Bombyx mori: one gene and its partners. The protein of the gene in region 1 binds, or shares a complex with, the protein of each later gene. Links are inferred from orthologs where the notes say so. Each region holds a gene or a part of one and is shown in the gene's direction. Other genes may lie near its edges.

Region 1 (10,135 bases):
ATAACGTAGTGTAAGTGATTGCAATATTAAAATTTAAAATAATAAATTAATGTGTTTAAAAATGTGTAAGTCGTATGATTTGTTCCGAACTTTTCCCTTTAAGTAAATGAATTCAGTCAATTCTCTGCAGTGTTTTCCTGCAGAGCTGCAAAATCCTGTTATTTGCCATGAATAGGTACGTACGGACAGTAACCAGAAAGAATAACCTGACTCATAAAAAAAATCACATTCACAACTTCTCTTCACTGATACCAGTCAGTCACTTACTTTTTGCATGGAAGTAAGTAGGTAGGTAGGTGAAATAAAAAAGGCAGTGCCTAAAAGTCAATTTAAACGGGAAAAAGTGGCAAGAATAGTTACTATGAATTTATAAAGAGCAATAGCGAGACTGGTAATTTTCGGGGCAGGATTTGGTTAGTTCTTTTAGTTCTTTACGTGTCTCTGCTTGTTTTGAGAAAACTTTTTTGAGGGTAGTACGATTTACAAAATGATATACCTATTAGTCCCAATAGAGGTAGGTTTTTTTTCTAATAATAGTAAATGTATAAATGATCTTATACTAGTCAATAATAAGCATATTTTAACACCATTTATTGACGATATTTTTTGGCCATTAATTTATTATTACATTCCATAATTTGATCTAATGATGACAAAAGTCTACATTTAACGATTTTTGTTTACTCTTTGAACTTAAAATGAAGAAGTTTTGGGTTTTTGTAATTTAGTCTTGAATTAACATGAATAGTTATTCTGTATCGTTATTTATATGTATTCTTCTATTTTTCTACTGTACTTGTAGATAGACGATCATGCGGCCTACTTGATGATGAGTGGTTACCGTAGCTCATGAAGACATTCTGTTTAAAACTCAAAACTCACTATTTAAACCCCACAATTTTTTTCTGTCTGTTTTAACGTCGACGTAGCCTAAAGGATAAGATATCCGTTGCATTCGTGTTGAGCGATGCACCGGTGTTCGAGTCCCAGGCGGGTACAACTTTTTCTAATGAAATACGTACTCAACAAATGTTCACGATCGACTTCCACGGTGAAGAAATAACATCGTTTATTACGAGGGCGGCACTAAAAATTTCGGGAATTAACGAAGTGACACAACATTACTATTTAAAAATGTATTTATTGCTTTTCGAAGTATTCTCCGCGAAATTTGACACATTTTTCCATACGATGGAACCAATCATTGAAGCAACCATTCCATTCGGAAGTTGGGGTCTCCAAAATGGCCGTTTTGTAGGCGTCCACAGCTTCTTCAGGTGATGAAAATCTCTGTCCACGCAATTTATTCTTTATTTTAGGGAAAGTATAGAAATCATTAGGGCTTAGGTCGGGGCTGTACGGCGGATGGTCTAATAATTCTATGTTTTCTTGCTCTAAAAACTCTTTTGTTCTGTGCGCGGTGTGAGAACTCGCATTGTCGTGATGGAGGATGATGCGGCGGTTGCAGTTCTCTTTACGGAGTTCAGAAACGACCTGTGGCAAACAAATGCTAGCATACCATTCTGCATTAACCGTTCTTTGTCTCTCAAGAGGAATAGTCGTAACATGGCCGGTTTTGGAGACAAACGTGGCCACAATTTTTTTGAAACACTCCGTGAACGAACAATTTTTGTTGGCTTTAACTCATTTTCGAACACCCAAACTCGTGACTGGTTTTTTGTTTCGGGTTCGTACGCGTATATCCAGGATTCGTCACCTGATACAATGTTGTATACAGCATTTGAGGATCCTGCGTGGAATCTTTCGAGAGTTCTGACGCACCAAGTAACGCGAGCCGCTTTTTGCTCTTCACAGGGCGAATGCGGTATCCATCGGGAAAACAACTTTTTTACACCTAATTGTTCATGCAAGATTATTTGTATTTGACTCATGCCAATGTCTAAAGTTGCCTGAATTTCGCGGTATGTCACATGTCGATCTTCCTCAATCAGCTTACGCACAGCATCAACGTTTTCTTGGGTGACTGCAGTTTTTGGACGACCTTGACGGGGATCATCACTGAGCTTGACACATCCACGTTGAAACTCAGCAAACCAGCGATAAATTGTGGTTTTGGATGGGGCTTCATCACCAAATGCAGAAATCATCCGGTCAACACACTGTTTTTGTGTTAAACCACTTCGAAAGTCATAACATATCATCGCTCTTGAATTTTCTCGAGTCAATTCCATTTTCTCAACGACTAAACAAGTTTGACAAAACCTCGTGACAAGACCGAGAATCTTTTTTTAAATAAATAAATGGTATTCGATTTTTAAAATCAAGGAGTTTTCAATTAAAAAGATTTTAATATGACAGGAACAGTGGAAATATTCCATTCCCGATACTTTTAGTGCAGCCTAGTAAAAATCAAACCGCAAGTGTTGCTAACACTGGCCCTAACATCTACTGGTGGTAGGACCTCATGTGAATACTGGTGGTAGGACCACTTGTGAGTCAGCGTGAACCACCACCCTGCCTATTTTGGCCATGAAGCAGTGATGCGTTTCGGTTTGAAGGGTGGGGCAGCCGTTGTAACTATACTTGAGACCTTAGAACTTATATCTCAAGGTGGGTGGCGCATTTACGTTGTAGATGTCTATGGGCTCCGGTAACCACTTAACACAAGGTGGGCTATGAGCTCGTCCACCCATCTAAGCTTTGATGTTTAATGTGTTTTAAGCAAACACATACTATGTTGTTTGCTTTCCCTATTATTTTCGAAAGCCATAAAAGAACCATAAATGGCTTTGATGAAATGTCTATGACCCGAGTTGAAGCTGATGATCAATTTAACTTTGTCGTACACGAAAAAGAAAAAGATAAAAGTACACAAAAAAAATTATATCACACGGATTCTTCAATGTATCTAATTATAATAACTATGTATAGTTCAAAGTAGGGAAGCAAGGGTAGTTTTCCAATTACAGAGCATAATGCGACTCAGTGGGACACAATGCCGAATTATGCTGAAGCATAATTGGAACGTGAATTAGTTTTCAAATGCATCAGCAGAGTGCGCTAAGTTCAGTATTGAAAAAAATATATTCAAACCTCATTAATGTATAAATAATGTAGTGGTAAACAATAATAATTGGTTGAAAACTATTTACGGTTATTTTAAGTAATTTAGATTTTGATTATTTCATTAACACTTTTTTAAGTTTTGAGTAATTTTTATAAACGAGTTATAAGAAAATTATATACTTTTTAATTGAATCATCTTATCCAGATGATAGTGTTGACGATGATTTATCGAGTGCTTCGAGTTTAAATCAATTATTTCATTAACAAGTGATATACTTATTGAAAATATATATGATAATGAAACAGATGAGTTATTTGAGCCATTAATAAAATATCTGATGACAGGCAGTACTTTTGAGAGTGCTCGATTGTGCGAAGCGTTGCTGTAGTTGGACCATTCAACGTTGAGCATTATGCCGCATAATGTGCTGTAATTGGAAAACTACCAAGAAGATTTTTTTAAATACCTACATTTGTGAACCATAGATAATCTATCAATCCTGTGTCAATGGCCGAATGTTATTAACTTCATTTGTTTACATTTATCTTTTAATAATTTGTTTAAAAATCGTTGACTATCAATTAAGTCGACAAATATACAAACGAAATCATGACTAATAGTAATTTGAGTGAAACATTGATAGAGGTTTGAATTCATAATAATTTATAGCAGTGATGGTGATGAACTGCGAGTGTAATAGTTTGTTCTGAGTCTTTTAAAAAACAAATCTGGCTTTCCTTGAAATGAAAATTTCTGACAAAGGCGACAATATGACGAATCATCAAGTATTAGAGCTGATATCAGGTCTAAAATCTCGACATTCAGAAACAAGACACCGAGCTGTGCGAGAGTTGCTACATTTTGCCAAAACAGAACTGCGGGAAATGTCTCAGGATAGTTTGACCCAAATTTTAGATGATTTCAACCAACAGATACACGATATGACCACTAGTTACGATAACAACGAAAAAAAAGCTGGAATTCTTACTATAGGTACATGATAGAGGTTATATTTTTCTATTGGCCATGATTCACATGTCTTTAATGGTTCCAAATAATTAATCTATTAACAAATACAGAAATTTTGGAGTAGGTGGTGCTAATTTAAATAAATAAAATGTTATAAAATATCTTTTCAGTTTGTCTTATTGGAGGTGATACAGAGACCACCAAAACAAGGACAATACGTTATGCAAATTATCTACGAAATGTGTTTCCATCTACAGACATAAATCTCTTAGAATTGGGTGCTAAAACTATGGGACGATTAGCTTCCTCATTAGGAATTAAAAGAGGAGAATATGTGGAGACTGAAATAAAAAGATGTTTCGAATGGCTAGCTGAAGAAAGAAATGAAGGCAAACGATTATCGGCTGTTTTAATTTTGAGAGAACTGGCTATATCTATGCCATCATATTTTTTTCAGCAAATAAATGGATTCTTCAATCATATCATGAGAGCACTTAGAGATCCTAAAGATCAAATACGAGAAGCTGCAGCAAAAGTTTTGAGGGCTGCTTTTGCAGTAACCTCTCAGAGAGAGCAGCCAGAGCAAAGTAACAAAGCTCATTGGTATATTCAATGTTATGAAGAAGCAGAGACATCATTTGGTGATCATGCTATTAGAGAAAGGGGATTGAACAGGGATGACCATGTGCATGGAGCTTTATTAATTCTAAATGAATTACTCAGGTGCTCAAATGCAGCATGGGAGAAAAAATACACTTCTCTAATGCAAAAGCTAGACCCTGATTTAGATTCTCATGATGAAATGTCTTCTCTCAGTCCTAAAATTCAGGGTTCATGGTCATTGTCACATTATTCAGATGAAAAAAATCAACCTCTAATATTTGAATCCAGTATTTGCAAGAAATTAATTGAAGATAATTGTGAAAAAATCTCAGCTGGTATGAACTGGCAAAAAAAAATTAATTTGTATTTAGAAAAATAAATTATAGTGTCATTGTATCTATTGAGACTAAACAATTATTTTTTACAGATGTAATGGCTCAGCAAATATCAAGAGCTCATAATGTGCATCAGATGCTCCTTCTGTTAATACCTCGATTAGCTGCCTTCAACAAAGAAACTTTTGCTAAAAGACATCTGAAGTCAACGATAAATCATTTGATAACATTCTTACGTGGTAGAGAAAAAGAAAAGGCCATGGCTTTCACCACACTTGGCTTGGTTTGTGTAGCTATGGAATCAGATGTACAACAGTATCTCTCAAGAATTATTGATATTATCAAATTAACCCTGCCAATCAAAGAAACACAGAAAAAACGTAACGGATCTGAAACACCATTATTTCATTGTGTTACATTACTAGGATTTGCCATGAAAGAGAATGTAGCAAATGAAGTTAGAGAGCTGCTAGATTCTATGTGTTTGACAGGCTTAAGTCCACAATTAACAACTTGCTTTAAAGAACTAAGCAATAATTTACCTTCTTTAAAAAAAGATATAACTGATAAATTATTGAACATGCTATCTTTAATATTGAGAAAGAAACCTTATGTTTCTACCAACGAAAATCACAAAGGTGTCTTCACAACTGCTTTGCTAGCAGAACCTCATGATGCCAATAAATTAGTATTGGCTTTGAGGACTCTAGGTTCTTTTGATTTTGAATGGAATAACACTTTGATGTCCTTCATCAGAAGGTGTACAGATCATTATCTGCTGTGTGATCATCACGACATTCGGCTAGAAGCAGTAAAGACAGCTGCAAGATTATTAACGAAAGCTGTGGAGAGATGCGCCCAGATAAATTCACGAACTTTAAATTTAATGATTGATGAATCCATAGGTAAAATTTTGTCTGTTGGACGATCAGATTTTGATCATGAAATACGCTACAGAGTACTTGAGGTGTTTATGAATCCAGTATTTGACAGATATCTTGCTGTAGAAGAACATCTAAATTGTCTTTTTGTTTCTATTAATGACTCGAATTCTGAAGTTGGAGAACTAGCACTGTGCATTTTTGCAAGATTGAGCAATCTCAACCCAAGCTATACCACACCAACATTGCGTCAACTGTATGTACAAATTCTAATAGATTTGCAACATTCAGAATCTCCGCGGAATAAAGAAAAAGCTTTACGAATGATAAATAATATTATATCTCATGCTCCCACAATTACACGTCAATTTGTTGATACAATTCTAAATGTGCTTATACCGAAACTGAAAGAAAAGGACAGTAATTCCACTATGATATCTACAGTACTAAAGGCCATCGGAGATTTGGCAGAGGTTAATGGTGGTGGACATGCTTTAAATAAATGGTTAACAGAATTGATTTCTACTCAAATTGAAATCCTGGCAGATCCTAATCAAATCGAAAAGAGAAGTGTTGCCCTATGGTCTTTTGGTCAAGTTGTAAGTGCAACAGGGCACGTGGTCGCTCCATACATGGAATATCCCAAGCTAATGGATCTTTTGCTAAATTTCTTAAAAACGGAACAGCAACTTCGAGAAATACGCGAAACTGTTCGGATTTTGGGATTGTTAGGAGCATTAGATCCATATAAATATAAAGTAAATCAAGGATTAATAGATTTCCAAACTGTGTCTACTTTGATACCTATAAGGGAGCCGTCAGTCGATAGTTTTGAATCTAATATCAGTGAAATGTTAGTAAATATGTCACCGTTAGTACTAGATGAATTTTATCCAGCCATCGTAGTGACTTCACTAATGATAATGTTGCGCGATCCGACGTTAGCGCACCACCATCCAAGTGTTGTGCATTCTGTAACTTTTATCTTCCAATCACTGGGTATTAAATGCGTCCCGTACATATCACGTGTGACGCCAACGCTTCTACACGTTATTCGGACAACGGAAAACAGCAATTTTCGTGAAATACTTTTGACGCAATTAGCACAATTGATATCTGTTGTGAAAATCCACATTCGAAACTATCTGGAAGACATTTTTGACATGATAAGGGAGTACTGGACTCCCAACAGCCACCTCCAAGCTACCCTAATAATGTTGGTCGAACACATAACGGTCGCGATCGGTACAGAATTTAAAATTTACTTACGTAAAATACTACCGAACATTCTTAGGGTATTGAAACACGACACAAGCAAGGATAGATTTTTGACAGAGAAACTGTTAATAACAATACAAAAGTTTGAGAATAATTTGGATGACGTGCTCTTGTCGGTGGTGCCAGCGATAACCGCCCTGTTTGACGGGAGAAACATTCCGTTCGCAATTTCGAAGCTTGCGATGGAGACCATCGAGCATCTCTCCGTGCACTTGTGCGTCAAACAGTATTCGGCGACAATCATTCAAGCCCTCGTCAAAGTTTTGGATAACAACGCTTCATTGAGGCAAACTGCAATGAACACTCTCTCCGCTTTGATAGTTCAAATGGGCCGCGAATACATAGATTACATACCGTCTATGGAAAGGATATTATCGAAACATAAAATACAATGTCCTAACTATATCGTGTTGGTAACGCGGTTACAGCTAATATCTACGCTTGCATCAGATGATGATTATTTGGACGAAACGCGGTCAAGACTTCGTAATCAAAAGAACGAAGTGAGTGTAGGCAACATCTATTAGCAACTTGTTGTCACAATTAAACTGGGTGTTTAAATAATAACATGATCTATTTTCTAGATGGTAAGGTGCACAACGGAAATGCAGCCTATACAGAAAGTTACGTTAAATGTACACAATTTACGTAAATGTTGGTCTGTCCATAACATTGTGTCCAAAGAAGACTGGATGGAGTGGTTGCGTCTGCTCAGTGTCGGCTTCCTGACCGAATCCAACAGCCCTGCTATCAGGCGAGCAATTGTGATATTTATTTATCAGTCCCTTAATTGTAAAGCATAAATCAAGAGTTGTTTAAAAAAAATTGGTAATTTTGGTAAATTACTTACAGAGCCTGTTCTACTTTAGCACACAACAACCCTCAACTTGCGAGCGATCTGTTCAATGCGGCGTTCATGTCGTGCTGGACGGAGCTGGACGAGTCCTCGCGCAAGGACTTGGTGGCGGCCTTGGAGCGAGCACTCACCGTGCCCGACCTGCCGGAATTAGCGTTAGCGGTCCTCAACCTGGCCGAGTTTATGGAGCATTGTGAAAAATCATTGTTACCGATTTCCATAAAGTTACTCGGAGACACAGCTATAAGCTGTAGGGCTTACGCTAAAGCTCTTTATTATAAGGTTAATGAATCTTTATTATTGTTCATAGTTAATTAAATGTCTTAGTGATTTTTTTTTCAAATTTTTTATACACGTTTTAGGAGGAAGAGTATAAGAAAAATCCGTGTACGAAGGTAATTGAAGCTTTAATTCATATAAACAATAAGTTGCAACGTAAAGAAGCTACTAACGGCTTACTCGAAAAAGCAGTTAGTGAAAACAAAAACGGAGAGAATGCTATAAATAACCACGTTCACTGGTACGAAAAACTTAACAATTGGGACCAAGCTCTAGAACTGTATACTATTGCATTAGAATCTCAGCCCAACGACGAGGCTTCAAAGTTGGGAACGATGCGGTGTCTGGAAGCTATGGGCGAATGGAAAAGATTGTACAGTATGACCCACGATCAATGGGACAACATGGACGAGGAGTTTCGTAATAAATCTGCGAAAATGGCCGCAGCGGCATCTTGGGGTCTTCAAGAATGGTACTCGATGAAGAAATACGTGGAACTGATTCCAGAAAGTACCCAAGACGGGGCTTTTTACAGGGCCATCATAAACATACAGGACGGACAGTGGGCCGAATCGAGACATTACATCGATCTTGCCAGAAGTCTCATAGATGTCGAGCTGACAGCAGTGGTTGGAGAAAGTTATCAAAGGGCTTATGGAACACTAGTCAACGCCCAACTGCTAACCGAATTAGAAGAAATTATCACTTATAAATTAATAGAAGAAAGACGAAGCACAATCCGAAAGACTTGGTGGACACGACTCCAAGGCGGGCAGAGGCTGGTCGAGGATTGGAGGAAGATATTACAAGTGCGCAGTCTAGTCATGTCGCCGAGAGAAGATTTTCAGACGTGGTTGAAATTTGCGTCGCTATGCAGGAAAACGGGCGCAATTAATCAAGCGCATAAGATAGTTATTTCGGTGTTGGGCAGCGATCCGATCTCGAACCCCGACGTCATGTTACACGTGCAGGACCCGCGAATCGTTCTGGCTTACAGCAAGAACTTATGGGATGTCGGCAACAAACGTTACGCTCACGATGTCTTGCAAAGATTCGTGGATAGCACCGAACCGGAAAACGAAGAACATTGTCGTCTCTTAGCGCGTTGTCACTTGAAATTGGGCTCGTGGTGCGAAGCAATACACGAAATCAATGAGCTATCGATCCCGGAAATCTTAAGGAACTACGCGACCGCAACGATCCTCGCCCCGGAATGGTACAAAGCGTGTCACGCGTGGGCGTGTATGAACTTCGAAACGGTTCTGTTTTACAAGCAACAAGACAACACGTCGGAGAGCAGTGTAACGGGCGGTACTGGCGAGAAAAAAGTCGCTCGAACCGACTTCATAAACGCGTACACGATACCCGCTATCGAAGGTTTCTTCAAGTCTATAAGTTTGTCGAACGGCAACGCTTTGCAAGACACGTTGAGATTGTTGACTCTGTGGTTCGACCACGGACATCATCCGGCCATTTACGATGCAATATTCGAAGGGATACGACAGATCGACATCAAGATATGGCTACAGGTCATACCACAGCTGATAGCCAGGATCGATTCGCCGCGAAGTCTCGTAGCTAAACTGGTTCACATCCTTTTGATTGATATCGGAAAATCTCACCCTCAAGCCCTGGTTTATCCATTGACGGTCGCGACGAAGTCATCGTTCGTGACCAGGAAAAACGCCGCCAACTACGTATTGAAAACTATGTGCATTCATGCACAGAATCTGGTGAACGAAGCCGCTATTATTTCGGAAGAGTTGATCAAAGTGGCAATACTGTGGCACGATCAAGTTTACATAGCACTCGATGAAGCGTCAAGGTTTGTTGGGTACAGATAATTTTAGATAAATATACCAAATATTGAACAACTAATCTCCGGCGATGATTTCAGGTTTTGTTT
Region 2 (10,139 bases), on another chromosome or scaffold:
CTGGAGCTAGCGGCTGGTGCAAGCGGCTGGAGCTAGCGGCTGGTGTAAGCGGCTGGAGCTAGTGGCTGGTGCTAGTTGCTGGATTTAGCGGCTGGTGCAAGCGGCTGGCGCAAGCGGTGGGTGTAAGCGGCTGGTACTAAAATGCTGGCGCTAACGGCTGGGGCTTGTTTCTAGAGCTAGCGGTTGGTGCTAGCGGCTGGTGCTAGCGGCTGGTGCTAGTGGCTGGTGCTAGCGGCTGGTGCAAGCGGCTGGTGCAAGCGGCTGGTGCAAGCGGCTGGAGCTAGCGGCTGGTGCAAGCGGCTGGAGCTAGCGGCTGGTGCAAGCAGCTGGAGCTAGCGGCTGGAGCTAGCGGCTGGAGCTAGCGGCTGGTGCTAGCGGCTGGTGCAAGCGGCTGGTGCAAGCGGCTGGTGCAAGCGGCTGGTGCAAGCGGCTGGTGCAAGCGGCTGGTGCAAGCGGCTGGTGCAAGCGGCTGGTGCAAGCGGCTGGTGCAAGCGGCTGGTGCAAGCGGCTGGAGCTAGCGGCTGGTACAAGCGGCTGGAGCTAGCGGCTGGTGCAAGCAGCTGGAGCTAGCGGCTGGAGCTAGCGGCTGGTGCAAGCAGCTAGAGCTAGCGGCTGGAGCTAGCGGCTGGAGCTAGCGGCTGGAGCTAGCGGCTGGCGCAAGCGGCTGGCGCAAGCGGCTGGCGCAAGCGGCTGGAGCTAGCGGCTGGAGCTAGCGGCTGGCGCAAGCGGTGGGTGCAAGCGGCTGGTACTAAAATGCTGGCGCTAACGGCTGGGGCTTGTTGCTAGAGCTAGCGGTTGGTGCAAGCGGCTGGTGCTAGCGGCTGGTGCTAGCGGCTGGAGCTAATGGCTGGTGCTAGTTGCTGGTGCAAGCGGCTGGAGCTAGCGGCTGGTGTAAGCGGCTGGAGCTAGCGGCTGGAGCTAGCGGCTGGAGCTAGCGGCTGGAGCTAGCGGCTGGAGCTAGCGGCTGGTGCAAGTGGCTGGTGCAAGCGGCTGGCGCAAGCGGTGGGTGCAAGCGGCTGGTACTAAAATGCTGGCGCTAACGGCTGGGGCTTGTTGCTAGAGCTAGCGGTTGGTGCAAGCGGCTGGAGCTAGCGGCTGGTGCAAGTGGCTGGAGCTAGCGGCTGGAACTAGCGGCTGATGCAAGCGGCTGGAGCTAGCGGCTGGTGCAAGCGGCTGGAGCTAGCGGCTGGAGCTAGCGGCTGATGCAAGCGGCTGGAGCTAGCGGCTGGTGCAAGCGGCTGGAGCTAGCGGCTGGAGCTAGCGGCTGGAGCTAGCGGCTGGTGCTAGTTGCTGGAGCTAGCGGTTGATGCAAGCGGCTGGAGCTAGGGGCTGGAGCTATTAAAAAAATCCGAAAAACAAAAAAAAGGGGGGGGGGCATATTTACAGAGCCCATGAGCTCATTCTTTGGGATAAGCTCAATGAATTTAGCCCCCTAGACGAACAAACAATTTTTACATTTTGAACATTAACGAACAAACGACGAACAAATAATAAAAAATAAAAAAAACGAAAATCAAAAAAAGGGGGGGGGCCAAATTCAGTGAGCCACATCAGAGGTGGTTTAAGTTCTGTGTTCCTGACTCAAAGGAATCAGAAAATCAAAATATATAAGCTCAAGCTTATTCTTGCACAATATCTTAAATAGCATTTGAATACCTATCATATAAATAATTTTTTTATTGCATTTGTAGGCAGACGAGCATACGGCCCACCTGATGGTAAGTGGTCACCGTCGCTCATGGACGTCAGCAATGCTAGGGGCAGAGCCAAGCCGCTGCCTACCATAATTTGTTAATAAAAAATTTGGAAATCATGATGAACTCAGCGTTAGCACTTTATTTCTAAAGTTTTTTAATTTAGGTAATGATACTTTTTTTTATACCAGTCCCTAAGTGTCTCTATATATAATATTAAAATTAAATTACATTATAATTCAATATATACATAACTAAATATTATTGCAGTTGCATTCTGAAAAGAAAGCAGTTTTTTTTCCCCTACCTAGCTGAGAGCCTTGAGAGGCTATTTCAGCGTAACCTTAACTAGCAGGTGAGTTCACGGGGCTCAAACCTGACGACGTTGCTAACACGAATCCTAGCAAGAGCCGTGCTTCGCAGAATCTACCTCCGGATCGGAAACGCGGCTCACTGAGAAGAACGGAAGAAATATATTTGTTAGTCGTTTGTTTTGTGTCTCGTTAATTTGTTAATAATCTGTAGTGTATCGTGTTGTCGTAATATAGAACTATTTCTCGTATTGTTTCGTTTAATTTTTTATATCCAGTAAACTCCAGTCGTGCGTCGGAGCACACACACTTTTTTTTTTTTATCTTTATTTATGGAGATTATTCACTTAGTGAATATGTCACTCCATTGTGCAACAAAAGATAGTAACAAAAAATAAATAAAAAAATAAAGAAAACTGTTATCGTCTCTGAAGGCCCACCAACACAATTTTATAAAGTGACTTAGCCATTTCAGATTCCAGAAAGGTTAATACGCAATTTACACCTCCAACTTGTCGAAAATCTGTATGTTTTTCAAAGAATTGTTGTCTCAAATCATCATTCCGCGCACACTCCATCATAATGTGAAAAGCGTCTTCCACTACATCACAAACTGAACAATTGGGATCAGCAGCCTTCCCCATTAAATGAGCAAATTTATTGAGTGGGATGTGCCCGGAACGAAGTCTGAAAACAGTCACTAGGGTGGTTCTATTAAGGTTACAAGAATCAAACCATGGCGATTAACATGGTAAACTTTGAATTGTTTTATACCACACGCCTTTTTCCAAAGACCTTTCATCGAAAAATACCTTCCATACACGATAACGTTCCTCTCTTACTAAGGGTGCGTTCCACTAAGCGCCCACAACGATCAAAATACTCCTTTAGTCGTTCCACATAACGACCGCGGTCGTTGTGGTCGCGGCGAAAACGTCACTTATGAAGTCATGACTTACGCTCACGCGAAGCCCACGACGACCCATCTAAAAAGGTGGGTCGAAGTGATCGTTGAGAAAATTAGCGGCGTTTTCAAAATTCAAAGCATCAAAAATGGCGACCGTTAAGCTTACGTTATTTCATGCGGAAAGAGATACTATCTGGAGCATTATTGCGACCTCTTAGCAAATATCCAAGTGCCGAAAAGCCACCGAAAAGACATTTTAATTACATTTGAACGTAAATTAATTAAATACACCACTAATATTAAATATAAAAGATTAAATTATAAATGTTTTCAATATGAATCGATTTAAACAATATTTAAATAAGTTTATTTTCAAGGCTTACAGATTATAACCTAACCTCTTAAAGCTTTTTATTAACTCGCCGTTTGTATTATTTACCTCCACGCTCAAAATGCTCTATAAATCCATTCCACTTGAGTTTACGACAGTAACGCTCACGAGCAAGTGGAACGGGAAAAATTGCGGTCGTGAGCGTGATCGTTGTGAACGCTTAGTGGAACGCACCCTAAGTTGACACAATCGGTATAATTAGGAACTATGTTCAATGGTACACCATCACTAGAAGCTTCCTTATTTAACTTATCCAGCCAAAAAATTTAAAGGTAACTGGTGACGCAGGTGAGCGTCACCTTAAACGTGAGCTGATGAGCTGAAAGGGAGCATATGAACTCTGCGGAGAATAAGCGGACACGATAGGGTAGGTAGGAAAACGGGACTTACTTGGAGGCTGATGTTGGCACTATCACGGTCGTAGTGGTGTTTCTCTGCGATGGGTGGCACATACACCTTTTCACCGGTTCACACTATACCTTTTACTTAGTATCGAAAGGCGCGCGCGCACAATTTACTCAATATCGAACGAGCGTATCTCCGCGTGCCGTCATGTACCGCACTGTTATGAGAGGTGCGGGGTGCGTACGGGCGACGGCACCCGAGTTGAGCCGAACATTTACAAACGTCGCGCTGTCGCGCGAACAGTAACCAATGTTACAAAATAGTAGTATATTTTGTAACTTTTGTTTGTATGCTTTATTATATATTATGTTAAATATTCCAAAAACAAATAAATATTTGTTTTTCTCTAACAATTTTAAATGTTTTACTAAGGGTGACACATAATGACATTACATTAAAAAATGCTAATTAAATTTCTTTATTTCCAGAAAATAGAAACATCCGATATTTTTTTAAATCCCAAGGAAATAAATTGATTAAATCATTTTGGTTATTAATTTTTTTTTCCAAAAGTGCCAAAATTATAATTCGCAAATAATGGATGAATTGAATTTCTTGAATTATCAATTAAACAGAAAATTATGAATTAATAAAAGTAATTAATTATATAGAACAATCTTGATAAGACTAAAAAAACCATTTTTCACTTTCAAATTTTGCCACCCTGGGCACTTGCCCCGACTGCCCTAAATGTACACCCACCATTGGTCACAGATGAGTTAGTTACTACGCCACTGGTGGAATGACGAAGTTCGACTTTGCAAATAGTATATAAGCGTATATCACGTATATCGTATATCATACATCGTATAATATTGTAGTTCGTATATCGTATATGTAGTTCAGTTGATATACGTATATATTATACGTGTATCAACTGAGCTGCAGTTCATTAAAATACCTATACCTTTTTCAGTATTTTTATGGCTTCCAAAACAACCACACCGCTTCTGATTGTAATCGATTGTTGAAGGATAGCTACTTGATCATGAGTATGGGGCTTTGTAAGTGCTTAGTGCGAGTTTTTTAACTTCTAGATCGCGTAAAAGTTGCCTCAAATTTGTGTGGAGTTGGAACAGTTCCCCTACGTTTGCCGCTAGAGTTAAAAAGCTCGTACAAAGCACACTTTTGCTAGTTGAAAATCATCTTATGGGAATTTATAGAATTGCAATTTCATTTGCGTCTTTGACAAAACAAAAATTTCACTTAGCATAGATCATACTTAAACATTTTAACAGTTTGTCAAATACGTCAATGAATGTCAGACGTCTAAAAAAATCAAATGTGTGGATTTGTGATGTTGGTGTGCGAGGAAAACAGGGTTGTAATTTTATTACACTTTCTGTATTCAGTTAATTTATTTTAACCCTGAGAAAAACTAATTAATTAGAGCGGTGACTATTTAACAATATCGAATTTAGCTTGTGTTTTTGAAAATGAGATGATGGATTTATCCGAACACATTTTGAATCGAAGGAGAGGTAATTTATTTGTAGAAATTACATTAACGATTTGTTTAATTTCTACGTTAATGTTGTTTTCAATTATATTGACTTCGACTGTTACTATTTGCCATGCAGCATAGACTATAATTTTTCATCACATATTTTAGGAAAACCTGCAAGTGATTTGTTTAAGTTGGACATCAAGAATAGAACTCCGGAAGAGAATATCAGGGACATAATACAAGGCCTTTACGTAAGAAAATCAACACAAAATGATACATCTCCCTCCTACAAAACTGTGCCTACGGAATACAGGTCAGGATTTAGAGGCATGCACAGAAGTAGTACTGATAGCAGAAAATTGGCCTACCTGAATGCATTAGTAACATTGTTATGTAAAGAAGAGAGAAGCAACCTAGGGTTTACTCCTGATGAGTTGATGGCATGGTAAGAATTATGTATTAAAATTATATTGTTGTGACAAAATTTCAATACTGAATCTTATAAGCTCAATAAATATTCTTGTATCATAGCCGAAACTCATTGTTGTATGCCATATTGTATTGTAAGTATTTAAAATAAAATAGGGTCTTTAACAAAGTTATTGTTACTTATAATTTGTCACAAAAATCACACTAATGTCAAATTGTAAAGTTGTATATGGTTATATATATTATAATTTAAACAACTTTTAAGTTTTTATCTTACGTTTTTCATTATTTCTGATGTTTTTGTAGTCATGTATGAAAAATATGTTGTCAGCATTTGAGTATTGTTAGTCGACCTTCAACTAACTACTTTTTGTTTTTCTATAATAATATTTCCACACTAATGTTTCATTTTGCACAGAAGATATTAATAATCTTGAAGTATGTCAGTTTGTATAACTTAAACTGACTCTGAGACAGTAGATTTAATTATGCGTACAACTTATGAAAACTGAAGGAAATATTAACATTTATTTAGAGAATATGAAACATAAGTAGGTATTATTTAAAACATATTTCTTGTTTTCAGCTTGCGTATTAGTCTTGTGGATGAGTCTATGGTTATTCGAGCTGCCGCTTTAAGAGTCATACGTCACTTGTTGAAGACTGATTATGATGTCACTATTTTCAATAATATGAAATTACCCTACCTCGTTGTAAGGTAAAAAATAATAAAGCACTTTTTATTGTAAAACTCTTAAAAAACTGTGTTTTAAACTGGAGATATCTATAAAACAGTGCTAAGATGTTGCTGACCCCACGTATTTTTATTTTAAGCCTGTTTGTTTTTGTTAATTGGTTTGATTCAGTCTTTTCTCATACAAATTTCTACTGCTGCTAACATGCTAGCCGGAAAGTGATGACCATAAATAAAGGCCATATTGGGACCCGCAAAATTATAATTTGTGTAATTACTGGTGGTAGGAACTCTTGTGAGTCCGCATGGGTGGGTACTACTGCCCCGTCTATTTCTGCCGTGAAGCAGTAATGCGTTTCGGCTTGAAGGGTGAGGCAGCCGTTGTAACTATATTGAGACCTTAGAACTTATATCTCAAGGGGTGTGGCGCATTTATGTTGTAGATGTCTATGGATTTCAGTATCCACTTAACACCAGGTGGGCTGTGAGCTCGTCCACACATCCAGGCAATAAAAAAAAAGTTCATAAAATGATGATTAGTGCTTAATAAGGTTACATTACTAATAAATGTAATTGATCACAAAACTAAGCCAAGGTGCTGATTCCATAGTCTAGGATTGAGCTACTTCTCAGAGGTCTTTTCATCATTGTAGTTGCACAAATATTAACTCTAAACTGACAAGTTTTTATATTTATGTTAATATACCCTTTTCCTTTTACATACTTAAGTGTTAGTAGTATAACATAATTGTTTTGGCTATGCCAACACTACCCTCATACCTAGTATTTCCTAAGAATAGAATACCTAAAAATAGATAATTGACTGTAAAGGCAATACATACAGTTGAAAAATGAATAGATTGCATTAATCAAAAATAATCAATTTGATATAATTACTGTGTCATGTTATGAACAAATTTCATAAATAGAAGTTGCCATGTACATTGTATACACAAAATGTACATAATAGTAGAGTTAATACAAATAACAATTATTGAAACTGAATATGAAGAAAGTTTTCAAATGTGAGACTATCATGTTTTTATAGATCTATGGAAGTTATTATTCGCAATGAAGAAGAACGTGCCCAAGCTATGCGTGTTGCTCGGCGGGCGTGCACAATGAGAGCTGCAGCAGCACTTCTTCGATGTCTAGCTGCACTTGCAGCAGACCCTACAGCTGATCGACTATCCCGTCCAGCTGTGGCCACATTAGCAGAGATAAGTAAGTTCAAAATACTTAATTAAGAAGCCTTGGCTTTGGGAATTAGTAATAATAATATCCTTTATTCTGATAGACTTACTAAACAGAGTATCACTTGGAAACCAATCTTAATTGTTAACCGTTCTCTTAAACTAAATGTAAATTATAATACACACATACCATCAAACGAAATGTACTTCTTAAACATGCTTTTATTAACTTGACCTGTATCTATCTAATGTTAACAATTCAATGCAATTTTCACCAACTTTAAGGTGTCTAAAAATCTTGAAATACTTCATTTTAGTGAAATTATTTACATACTTAATCTATCGGATGCATACTTTCATACATAATCGTTTTTTTAATCTTGATATAAATTGATTATGATTTTTTTTCCTAACTAATTAAACTTTTTCACTAACATAGTTATGTGTTCCTTATCACTTTATTTGACGGTTCAAGGTGTCTATGTAAAAGAAAAAAATTTTTTTAGAACCTTTCCCTTTTCATTCATAGCCAGACTATTATCACGCAGGAACCTTCGTCTTGACAAATTATCAGCTAAAGTTATTAGCGCATAACATGAATGCTAATGTTCACCGTCTTACAAATTGTGGATATCAAAAAGTAACACTGCTGGTCGAGAAGCTAAGTAATGTTCTTACTGGCGGTACTTTACTGGTGGTAGGACCTCTTGTGAGTCCGCACGGGTAGGTGCTACCACCCTGCCTATTTCTGTCGTGAAGCAGTAATGCGTTTCAGTTAGAAGGGCAGGGCTGCCGTTGTAACTATAGCGAGACCTTACAGCTTATATCTCAAGGTGGGTGGCGCATTTACGTTGTAAATGTTTATGGACTCCAGTAACCACTTAACACCAGGTGGGCAGTGAGCTCGTCCACTCATCTAAGCAATAAAAATAAAATAAAATAAAAAATGTGTGTGTTCATGTCACACACGGTAGAAGTGAAACTTATAAATAAGATATAGATATACTGACTATCCCACTACACAGAAGCATACATATGGACAATGTTTAGTATACGATAGTGGGGATGCTACGAAGAGAAAGAGAACAACAAAGCAGAGACCGAGAATGTCTAATGTGTTCTATCGCATTCTCTTGCCGGCTGAATCCTATTCATTTGTGTTTGTGTCTATGGACTTATTTTTTCGTTTCATGGAGTTTGAAAGCACAACGATCTAAAGAAGTTTCACTTCAAAAATAATAATTTATGTCTGTCAGGCGTTGTCAACCCGGAGCTGTGGGTGTGGTGTGGCGGCGCCAGTGCCGTGTCCCGCCAGCTGGCCGAATGCGCGACCCCGCGACAAGCGGAGGCGTTGTGCGGTGCTCTCCTGCACGTGTTAGACCGACCGGGCCCGCGACGTGCCGCCCGCCTCACCACAGCCTGTCTGACGCATCTAGCTGCACCGTACTGTGACTTCCACTTCCGTTCAGCGCCTACAGATTCCACCAGGTTTTTATTATAAGCTTCTTATAAAAATGGATATTAGCCGTTCACTTTCCAGACAAATCAAAACAATGGTGCAAATTAAAGCTAATAATTGTTTTTTTTTTCCTACCTAAACTGAGACTAGCCTTGAGAGGCTATTTCAGCATAACCTTAACTATTAGTGAGCTCACGGGGCTCAAACTTGACGACGTTGCTAACACAAACCCTAGCAAGAGCCGTGCTTCGCAGAATCTACCACCGGATCGGAAACGCGACCCACTGAGAAGATCGGGCGAGAAACTCAGTGGGCTGTTTGTAGGTCAAATTACTTGTAGAGCCCTTCGTCGCAACCGACGGGTATGAATAATTTAAAGTTTTCTTTGGAAAATAAAATCTCTTAGTCTAGTCTCTTAACTAATGCAACCTAAAAAAATAATCGCAGTATTTTTTTTTAAATCCTTTAGTAAAGAATAATTAAAGCAATAGCTAAAAAAATCAATTACTGACTGTGGATGATATAGCTAGGAATAATAGGATAGGCCATGTTGTAAATCACTGGGTATTTAGCATCAGTGTTCGGCTCAAACATAGTTGGCACTACAATTGAAACCTAAAATACTTATTTCTTTATAGGGATGAGAGAGAGATGCGGTTCACCTGCAGTAGATTGGCGTTGCTATGCGTTTTAAGGAGTTGGCCAGGGTTGTTACATTTTTGTCACCCATCGAGTGCTGGGGGATTACGATCACTTGTTGCTGCTCTATATTTACCTCGTCTTGAAGTTCGGGTAAGTGCCAGTTTTAATTGTAAATCAAATTAATTGCTTAATGATTTTGAAATGGTCGTGGCTTAAAGGATAAGTCGATTGATGCACTCAGATGGAACGATACTACTATGTCGGTGTTCTAATACCGCATACAGGTGTCAATTTTTTAACATATGTTCATGTTCGTTGTGAACCCGCATGGGTAGTGTATTTCTGCCTGTTATGATGTCTTCGTGTTGCGGTAACCATTTGACATCATGTGGGCCGTGAGCTCATTCACTAGTCTATGCAATATAATATATTATGTATTTATGGTAAACCATAAAAATGGTTTAAGTACACAGTTGATTGGTTTTGAATAAGGGAATTAATTGTATGGTTCATAGTTAACATTTATTGTTTGTATGTGTGTTATATTACAGAAAGCAATATTGGATT
Region 3 (10,019 bases), on another chromosome or scaffold:
CAAGGAGCAATATGCAAAAGACCTAGAATCTTACAATGCCAATGGCGGTGGTGGCGAAGGGGGCGAAAAGAAGGCTCAAAAACGAGGGAAAAAGGGCAAGAAAACTGCTGCTGCTGTGAGTAAACAAATTCTTCAATATTAAAAGCATTTGTTGAATCTTTAAACAACAATTATTTTATTGCAGAAATCCAAGAAAAAGAAGGAAGAGTCTGAGGAAGAGGAAGGTGAGGAGGAGGAAGAAGAAAGTGAATGATCTCCCAAACCTTAAGACATTACTGTTCATATTGAATAAGGACTTAATTTATTACAAAGTAAAACGGGACTGACTTTCCAAAGTCTGTATGAAATGCATTTGACATTGATTTTGATTAACATTTAATGAGAGTTGGAATCATCTTTAACTGCAACTGGTATTTTGTTTATAAAATGCAATTAAATAATTCATTTCTTGATTCAATATTCCTTTAATTTTCTTGATATTGTAGTGTTAGTTATGATAGATATAAAATAAGATGCAGAGTTTGGAAAGTTTTGCCGCACACTAGGGTCTAGGTTTCTAAGCCTCAAAAAAATAATGTGTAAGTGTTAGCATGTATTTCACCAGGGAATTGTACAGTTAGCCCTCCCTCGTTAAGTTCGCTGTGACTTTGTGGATGCTTATTTTGAGATATACTTTTGACTGGTTTTATCAAAACTTCTATGTCTGCACCAATATCTAATTAAAGCTGTGCTTTTTATGAATTATTTTATATCGATTCAGTTTTATTTTAATGCTGAACTATTGGACATAAGTTTTGGTGTAACTATCAATATGTAAAATTAGAGACTTATTATAATGTCTACTCCTTGGAAGGATATTGCACCCGCTTGTTCAAACCTACCTCTTCATTGTAAATTCATTGCTAATAATGGTACCAAACAATAAGCTTAAGCATTTGTCGAGGTTACCTCGTGGCTTTATTTAGGACTTATGCATATTATAAAACTATACCACATAAGTGTCATTTTAATCTTGAGACTCGCCTTTCAGGTGAATTCTAGCATAGATTTGTGGCATTACCATAAAAATAATCTTAAGAAATTCATGTGTATGTTGTATTTTAGTTAGTTATAGGTAGGTTGTCGATGTGATTTGTCTCTCAAATTTTACATTTGTGTTATATTGTAAATGAGAATTAGCATTCCTCATGTCAATACGGATTTTACATGTTCAATAAAGTAATTTCTTATAATTAGTGTTTTAATTTCAGTTCATACATAGGTTAGTAACTGAGCAACCTGGCTGATTGGATTTGCAGTTTCAGTAATAGGTCATTGGTCATATATAGACACTAATTTTCGTAGCAGGTATAAATATTTTCGACCAAGTTAAAAGAACTGTTATCGTACTTTAGGGATGGAACTGAACATAGACTTTACTAGAAGTCTTGAGGGTATAAAATGTAGGTGGGTACCTACATTAATTACTTAAATCTAGTTCGTGATTGATCCCATCTTAGAATACTCATACTATTGAGAATTAATATTATGACTAGTCAAACTGACCATGTAAGACTGCATCCATTAGATAGGTACCTAGTTCTGTATTTCAATTTGATACCTAATATTTGATCTGATGCAGTACTTGTCTCAAGATTTTGGGTCTGGGCTTGTACCTATATCAGAAACTTGATAGGTATGCAATTCCTTGATTATCAATTTTTAAGGTTGGATTAACATGAAAATAATTTCTTGATATGTTTTAGTTTCATAATCTAGGTACCAAGATGTTGTTTCTTATTAAAATACGAAAGATTAACAAGAAAAAACCTCAAGATGGAAGCATGTATTTTTTATTTTTTTTATATTTTGACTCGCACGGTTTGTGCATTTGCCACTACTAGTGTGGAAAAGGTAGGGAAACCAGTTTTATTTAGGAATCAATTGGAAGGTTCGAAATTTGGAAAGGATATGTACGTAATAGGATAATAATATATAATAATGCCTAAGAGTTCATAATATATAGTGATTGGGTATAAATAAAAAGAATATTATATTTTAAAACTGTTTACATTTTAATATTATTAATAATGTAGGGATTGATGTGGGAAGAGGAACTCGGAGGTTTATCAGGGAATTTATGAATGAGGAACAGTCACGTAGGAGGCATCCAAAGAAAATGTGATTCAAGTCAGGTGAATGAAGTTAGCCCCTCAAAAAATTTTTTTTTCCTATTTTATACTTATTTTCTATTAATTCATTTGTTCATGATTGTTCACTGTTAATAATTGTTTGTTCTGCATTTATTTATTTAAAAAAAAATATTTAAAAATATACCTACCAGTTAGCCCCTCTAATGCAATTTTTTATATTTTTTCATCCTTAATGACTCGTAAATATTCATTTTCGATTGTTCTTATATAAAACACGTTTGTCCTCTTTCGAAATTACTCGTTTTTTGTTTAATTTACTATTTTTATTAGTTGAATAAATGTATGCAAAATATGTGTACTGCGCATGCGTCAACTATAATGCCTAAACTTTCTACGCGGTTTTAATCGTGAAAAAAAAACAAATATAAATCCTGAAGGAGCAATTAATTGGTATACAGTTTAATTAAAAAAATTAAAAAAGAAATAAATGAAATAATGTGTATTGGCGTTAAGTTAGACCAAATACATTTTTTCCATCCTCCTACTTATCGTTATGAAGGTATAAAAAAGATAGGGAGTTCACATAGGTAATATAAACAAATAAGTAAATATGTTCATTATTTATCTTTCAAGAGATAATATAGGTATACATTATAATAACTTTTTTACACAGTCGAAATTATATTCCTAACATTAGTAAAATAACATTTTAATACGATAGGTAAGAGGATGGAAAAAATGTATTTGGTCTAACTTAACGCCAATGCACATTATTTCATTTATTTATTTTTTAATTTTTTTAATTAAACTGTATACCAATTAATTGCTCCTTCAGGATTTATATTTGTTTTTTTTTTACGATTAAAACCGCGTGGAAAGTTTAGGCATTATAGTTGACGCATGCGCAGTACACATATTTTGCATACATTTATTCAACTAATAAAAATAGTAAATTAAACAAAAAACGAGTAATTTCGAAAGAGGACAAACGTGTTTTATATAAGAACAATCGAAAATGAATATTTACGAGTCATTAAGGATGAAAAAATATAAAAAATTGCATTAGAGGGGCTAACTTGTAGGTATATTTTTAAATATTTTTTTTAAATAAATAAATGCAGAACAAACAATTATTAACAGTGAACAATCATGAACAAATGATGAACAAACGAATTAATAGAAAATAAGTATAAAATAGGAAAAAAAAATTTTTTTGAGTGGCTAACTTCATTCAACTTTGAATTACCTGTGCTGTGTTGTTTTGGTTATGTTTTGACTTTATGAGATGCATTAGTTAGAATTTACAGTAATATTAAAAGCGCCCCGATAATTCGGTTCAAGTATAACGTAGATTATATCACATCATACAAGATTTATGTTGCTCGGAAAGTTCGAAATTAAAAATTAAAATCCGAAATTTCAAAATTACCTGGCAGTTGGAAATAAAAAAATGTGCTTTTAAGAAATAAATATGCCAATTGCTTAAACAATAAGTTTCATAAAATGGCTGGTGATACCACTGCTTCTCTTGGAGGATCGCAGGTGGCTTTAGTAACAGGAGGCTACGATCATACTATCAAGCTATGGCAGGCACACAGTGGTGTTTGTTTACGAACAATGCAGCATCCAGATTCGGTACTTCATATTTTAATGTTTCGGTTATTGATCTTCTATAAATGACCAAAATGACTCAATTCATTTCCAGATAACTCATTCAAATCGCTCCGTAAATTTGCATGATTATTTTAAATTTTCATAAAAAATTGATTTGGAAATTTCGCTTTGAATAATAACGAGGGCTGAAAGGCTATTTGAATTAAGCGATATTTCGATTAATACGCGACATTTATCTTTGTAATTAAAGGTCCATTTTATTTGGTATTAACTATCACCAATTCAATGTTTTTGATTGAACATCAATTAAGCTTACTGCATCCAAATAGCTGATGGACTTTTTTTATTATGAGAATTTTAAACTTTAAATGGCTCTCCTGTAAAGTTGCAAAAATGTCCAAAAAAAGAGAATTACCTAAACGATTAAAACTGGTCACGACAGTGTCAGATAATTGTGAGCTAAGATTTAATACAAGCAGACCACTTTGTACAAATATAATTCAGATTAACATGCCAGTCATCTTTTGTGAGGTAACTTAAATTAACTTTCGTGATATTTTTACAAACTGATTATATTATGAAAATCAGCTAAAGCTTATTGCATGACGAGTTTTCCTTTCAGCAAGTGAACAGCTTGGAGATCTCACCAACATCGATGGTAGCAGCAGCTGGATTTCAGCATATACGGTTATATGATCTTAGTAGTGCCAATCCAGACCCGGTCACAACTTTTGAGGACATCTCCAAAAACGTATCTCGAGTTGGGTTTCAGGTATTATGCATAAATTCAATTAAAATTTGTTGAAAACAATATATACATGACCTTCAGGTAGATTATTTGTGACCTAGGTGTCACTGACAGTAAACTACAGGAAGTACGTGTCTTTAATATATGTCTCTAAATATTTGCCAGGAATAGAAAAAAAAATATATTTCTTTTCTCAGTTCAAAACTCATTCAGTTGAAACTGGATCTTCAGTGTCCTTTAAATATTTGAGATCTCACTGGCATAGGAATTACTATAAATCTTTGAGATTATAATTATTTCTAGGGCAACAATTTGAAAAACACACAAATTGTGTCGACATGCAGTTTTTAAACAAAAACTGATGTTAAAATCAGTTATTCATTTTCAAACAACTTTTCAAGATTGTTATCTTTTAGAAAAAAAAAAAACTATGTATATTTATGATTGGATATTTAATTTGTGAACACATCTATTACAATAAGACAAGTCATTAATTTTTTTTTTTTTTAAATTGTAACTTTGCAGAAAAATGGCACTTGGATGTACACAGGAGGTGAGGACTGCACAGCCAGGATATGGGATCCCAGGTTAAAGACGCTATGTATTATATCAACCAGTTATTAGGTAACATCATTTGTGTTTTCTAACCTTGGCCAAATGATGTTTGGAGGTTTCTCTGATGCTAGATGACAATGCAGCACCTTATATCATTCGTTATATTCGTGCTTATTATAAAAGATTCACCAACTGATATTTACTGGTGGTATGAAGATATGATTCCTGCTTTAAAGCTGTCAAGTGTAATGCTAATGGTTATGGAATAAAATCAAAATTTAGATCATAGAAGCTAATAACTATTTACACTAGGAGACCATGAGGTTGTCTGCTGATCTCTGAAATTAAACTTTAACTTTTATTGAGTTTAAAAACACAATTTACTGACTGGACCTAGAAAGCTTAGTATAGAAATTTTAAAGCGGCATGTTTCTCATGTAGGGCTGCACCACGTACAAGGTGTCAAAAGATATTCCAAGTTCAAGCTCCGGTGAATGCAGTAATGCTTCATCCTGATCAGTCCCAGATAATGGTTGGAGACCAGAGTGGCATTATACATATATGGGATCTGAAAACGGATCAAAATGAACAACTGGTAACTTTACTATATATATTTTTTTACATCCACTATCAGCTGAGAAGCTATAATACAGTATGTTGTGGTGAGCTACAAAAGTGAAAGGAACACTCTATCTCCGCATCCTATTCAGTAGTGTTCCTGCATAAAAAGCTGATGCCAACATGATATCACCAATATGCTCATAATGGATATATAGAAAGGCTACTGAGGTATTTACTAGAGAATGGCCAGTAGTATTTTCTGTATATTATAACATATTTCTGCTGTCCTTAATAGGTTGATTGATGGTTGGATGTATTATAAACCCACTTGTGTATGGACCACCATCCTACCTTTTTTTTTCCACGAAACAATCATCAGTTTTGAGCATTTATGTTTTATTGATAAGCTCTAGTAATTGATCAATCATTAGCCAAGTGCCTGTCCAACCACATAATTCAATTTAAATAAACCATGTTTATTTCATTTACATGTTACACATAAATATTATACTATTTATCCTTATTTTTGTTAGATACCAGAAGCGGAGGCGTCGATTCAGGACATAGCTATTGATCCAGCCGGCAAGATGATGGCGGCTGTTAATAACAAGGGCAACTGCTACGTGTGGTCGTTGAGCGGACAACCACCGCACCCTGTGCCCAAAAAACACATTACTGCACATTCTAAATATGCTTTACGGTGTAAATTTAGCCCAGATTCAACGTGAGTTTGGAGATGTTACAGCATTTCAGTTAAAATCAACTTTAAGACATTAGATGTTGCATGTGTTTATTAAATGAGTTTATCTTGGCAATCATCATTATCCTGCCCTTCTCCCAGTCACCCGGGGTCAGCGCAACATGTTTTCTCCTTCCATACTCTTCTATCATAAGTAAAGCAAGGCAAGCAAGAAAGCAAGGCATAAGTAAGGCAATAAGTATAGTAACTTAGAAAATGTTTAATATCTGACTAATGTGATAATAGCATGTTGGTGACGACGTCGGGCGACTGCTCGGCCAAGATCTGGCGCACGAGCGACTGGGCGCTGTTGCGAGAGCTACGGCGCGACACGCAGCGATGGGTCTGGGACGCAGCCTTTACGCTTGATTCTCGATTTTTATTCACTGGTAAGACATTTTCAATTTCCTGGCAACCCAGTCAATTTTTTCAAAGTTTAAAAAAACCAGATAATTTTATTTTGTTATTTACAGGTTCATCGGATAGTTATGCTCGATTATGGAACATTGAGCGTGGCACGCTTGAACGGGAGTACTGCGGTCATCAGAAAGCCATCACAGCACTCGCGTTTAAAGATCAACCTGTTTGAATAGATATGGTTTAAAATAATTTGGGATGATTATAAAGTTTAAATAAATAAATAATAAAGTTGTAAATAATATAATAATTGAATTAATTTTTAATTGAATAAATGATTACATAGCATTAATGGTTTTTTTCTTCATAAAAAGTGTAAATGTATATTTTTATAAAAATAAACACTATTTTTAATTTTATAATTTTTATTACTGGTTATATTATTTGTCAAAAAATAGTGCTTAAACACTAGCAATGCACATGGCCAACAAAGTAGCATGTAGCAGGCAGAAAATAAATAATAGTTTTTGAATTATTATTTGTATTGTTTATTGTATTGTGTTTGTAATTACTTCGAGAAAGCGATGGTAATTGTATGTTAATGAACTAAAGTAAAGCTACTTTTATCGTTTTCATTACATCGCCTTTTTGGGATGGAAGGATAGCTGGTGACTCGAGGTTCGCCCTGAAGGGTTCAGCTAGGTGATTGTTGCATTAACAATAATAATTGGAATGGACGCAAATGACATTCATTCGCAAGTGAGATAAGTGATACAAAAATCGTATTATAAATCTGAAACATTTAAGGTAATTTCACAGAAGTATCTGAGCGTTTAAACAGTATAGATGGATTGTAAAAGTAAATAAAATATGACCAAGTCAACTTCATTTTTAAAGTGTGTATTTCGTTCAACAAATACATATTTCATGGAACATTTACAAGCTCCCATGAAACATCAATATATCTATTTATAGCGTACATAATACTATGGTATATTGTATCAGATCTCCATAAATGCAAAACTAAAACTAATAATATTATAACTAGGTACTTGTACGTCAAATTTAAATACTTTTTTTTAAAACATTAGGATTCAATTATATAAAAGACGTCAATTTTTAGTGTAATAAAACTAAATAACTATTAAATACAAATAAGAATATTCGCATTAGGAATGTTAATAAGTACATTTTTGTTCGCTAATACAGCGACGACTAGATATAATTCTTAATGTACATACTTTAATTCAATATTATTAATTATCATTTTTTTTTAGTACCGATTTATAAAATATAATAATAATAATTGTCAAAGCGCGAAATTTTAAACAAGCGCGGTAGGATAGCGTACGCGCATTAATATCGCTTGACAGTTCAAACTAAGTAAAATTGTTTTGTTCTTTGTAACATTTAATGAATAAACTTAATTATTTAGTAACTATGAGATTTGCTAAAAGGTGTAAAAAGATATTTTATTTGAATAAAAGAATGGTTACTTAGTTCATAGTCAACACTCCGGTTCTATCAATGTATCAATTTGAAGCCGGTTTTAGTGTTCAGTATGCGACCATATATTTTTATAAGAAACATAATCGGATTATTCATTAACCAAATTCTCCGGATCCAACAATTGCACCGATCACCGACTGCATTTTAATGTTTTAAAGAATATGTTAGATTTTCTCTAGAGGCAGTTCTTTGACTTCGCCAATTTCTGAATACACCTCCTCGTCGCACGTGTACGTGATAACGAATTTCAGGCTGATGTTATTCATAGAAGGCGGCCTCGCGAGCAGCATGACCTGCGTCAGGGCTGGCGGCGGCAGGAACGGATTGTACGCCGGCAGTGACGTCCCCGACGGTGTCAGTAGCCGAACTTTACAACCCTGAAATTGTATTACACAGACGTTAGTTACAAGTAGTTACTAAATACACACGCATTTAAAAAATTCTAATTTTTTTTTTTAGTGAATCGTAGATGCCAATCATAGCACTTTTAAAGTTTGGTTTATAATTTACAATTTAATATTCGTAAAGTATTTGAAACGTAAAGAGAATAATAAATCTGGACGAAATCTTTAATGAAGTTTTAGATAATAATCACTTGGGGTCAACGAAAAGCGTCGATATAGGCCGTTTTCCAATTACAGCACAAGAGCGCATTATGCGGCATAATGCTCAACTAAGCTTCAGCATAATTCGGCATTGTGCGTCACTGAGTCGCATTATGTTCTGTAATTAACCATTACTTAATGGTAGTTTTCCAATTACAGAGCATAATGCGACTCAGTGACGCACAATGCCGAATTATGCTGAAGCCTAGTTGAGCATGATGCCGCATAATGCGCTCTTGTGCTGTAATTGGAAAACGGCCGTAGTTTACCGTGAGAAGTTTTTTCGTAATAAAAAGCTGGCAAAACAATTTTGTCGTTTCAACATGAAAGAAGAAAAACAAATACAATTTTAAAATTTCACTCACTTTAGGAACTACACTTTGGAATTTATAATCTTCGATGGGCAATTTATTCTTACTTGTAGTCGATATGACTAAAACATTAACATCTTGCCTCGGTTTATCTTGGCAGAAATGTAAAACAACTGTCACACCTTCTTCCTCTTCAAACACTGTAAGCGGCTGTAATTTACTGGGTCTTACGTTTTGCAACGTAACATTTATATCAGTCAACGGTTTCACTTCGTTATTCTTATGATTTACTTCTTTCTTTTCAATAACACTAGTTTCCTTATCAATTACTGTTTCACTTTTGGCATTGTCTAATCCGAAATCCAATATATTATTTAAATTACACTCAGTATTGTTGTTCAAAACGAGAGTTGCATCAGTAACGTCTGTGCTAATATCCACCATGATGTCATCGCTGGGTGTCACATCTTTAGAAGTTGACGCAGTTACAGGTTTACATTCCTGAGGTTTCTTGGTGAAGAAATCTAAATCTAGTAATGCGCCGTTGTTCTGTAAATTCACATCATGTTTTGGTGAGGCCAATGCGTTCATTGGTACCTTTGTTGATGTTTTACTGAAAAAGTTATAAATATTATACAGTTTCATTTTTATAGAGGAACTGAGAGAATTTTATGTAATATTAATAGAAGAATACCTATTAAAGTTTTCAATCCGTTTAGCATTCTCTGGTAGAGATTGTTTTAATAGTTCTTCTCCAAGGGAATCCAATTCGTTCCAACCTTCATGTTTATTAGATCTGTCTCCCAACAAGTCGACATCATCTGCTATTGTGTGAATAATATAGTTAAATTGGCAGATGGTGAAAATTTTGAGTTTGATAAAGTTATT

The links.
Region 2: the proteins of TOR1 (region 1) and rapamycin-insensitive companion of mTOR are in contact, whole or in part, in a cryo-EM structure (PDB 6ZWM), measured with the Homo sapiens proteins. The link is inferred for Bombyx mori from reciprocal best matches to the Homo sapiens genes MTOR and RICTOR. Residues at the interface, in NP_001373429.1 of Homo sapiens: Arg1028, Asp1032, Lys1068, Leu1069, Asp1108, Asp1109, Tyr1110, Asp1150, Lys1187, Asn1196, Val1200, Gln1207, Asp1210, Val1211, Cys1214, Arg1215, Lys1218, Gly1219, Tyr1220, Thr1221, Leu1222, Ala1223, Glu1226, Glu1227, Asp1228, Leu1230, Ile1231, His1234, Arg1235, Arg1238; in NP_689969.2 of Homo sapiens: Leu204, Arg205, Gly206, Asn209, Arg245, Asp247, Val248, Glu249, Glu251, Arg252, Leu254, Thr258, Asp259, Phe260, His261, Tyr262, Arg263, His264, Ser265, Pro266, Asn306, Gly308, Ser311, Gly314, Val315, Cys317, Ile318, Pro319, Glu345, Ile347.
Region 3: the proteins of TOR1 (region 1) and target of rapamycin complex subunit lst8 are in contact, whole or in part, in a crystal structure (PDB 4JSV), measured with the Homo sapiens proteins. The link is inferred for Bombyx mori from reciprocal best matches to the Homo sapiens genes MTOR and MLST8. Residues at the interface, in NP_001373429.1 of Homo sapiens: Leu2269, Arg2270, Met2271, Ala2272, Pro2273, Asp2274, His2277, Leu2278, Thr2279, Leu2280, Met2281, Gln2282, Val2284, Glu2285, Val2286, Glu2288, His2289, Asn2292, Asn2293, Glu2536; in NP_001186102.1 of Homo sapiens: Tyr20, His22, Asp42, Ser43, Gln44, Val45, Asn46, Tyr62, Asn87, Glu105, Gln148, Thr174, Arg221, Tyr222, Leu224, Ser268, Arg270, Gly271, Trp272, Trp274, Ser290, Lys313, Val316.

The regions. Positions count from the first base shown.
Region 1 is NC_085109.1:10,802,953-10,813,087, reverse strand, and holds the start of TOR1 (target of rapamycin), read left to right. Parts: upstream 1-3,538; 5' UTR 3,539-3,673; exon of another isoform or gene 3,674-3,771; coding exon of another isoform or gene 3,772-4,021; intron 4,022-4,167; coding exon of another isoform or gene 4,168-4,286; coding exon 4,287-4,935; intron 4,936-5,027; coding exon 5,028-7,597; intron 7,598-7,678; coding exon 7,679-7,848; intron 7,849-7,946; coding exon 7,947-8,232; intron 8,233-8,312; coding exon 8,313-10,054; intron 10,055-10,126; coding exon 10,127-10,135. UniProt on the Homo sapiens protein: Serine/threonine protein kinase which is a central regulator of cellular metabolism, growth and survival in response to hormones, growth factors, nutrients, energy and stress signals.
Region 2 is NC_085128.1:9,694,808-9,704,946, forward strand, and holds the start of rapamycin-insensitive companion of mTOR, read left to right. Parts: upstream 1-4,947; 5' UTR 4,948-5,149; coding exon 5,150-5,189; intron 5,190-5,320; coding exon 5,321-5,600; intron 5,601-6,170; coding exon 6,171-6,302; intron 6,303-7,326; coding exon 7,327-7,502; intron 7,503-8,727; coding exon 8,728-8,959; intron 8,960-9,568; coding exon 9,569-9,722; intron 9,723-10,123; coding exon 10,124-10,139. UniProt on the Homo sapiens protein: Component of the mechanistic target of rapamycin complex 2 (mTORC2), which transduces signals from growth factors to pathways involved in proliferation, cytoskeletal organization, lipogenesis and anabolic output.
Region 3 is NC_085114.1:11,950,990-11,961,008, reverse strand, and holds target of rapamycin complex subunit lst8, read left to right. Parts: upstream 1-3,361; 5' UTR 3,362-3,635; coding exon of another isoform or gene 3,636-3,767; 5' UTR 3,768-4,094; coding exon 4,095-4,277; intron 4,278-4,368; coding exon 4,369-4,518; intron 4,519-5,019; coding exon 5,020-5,081; intron 5,082-5,490; coding exon 5,491-5,644; intron 5,645-6,143; coding exon 6,144-6,334; intron 6,335-6,595; coding exon 6,596-6,938; 3' UTR 6,939-7,054; downstream 7,055-10,019. Other genes in the region: mobility group protein 1B, read left to right, coding at 1-115, 185-253; ADP-ribosylation factor-binding protein GGA1, read right to left, coding at 8,380-8,592, 9,186-9,744, 9,826-9,955.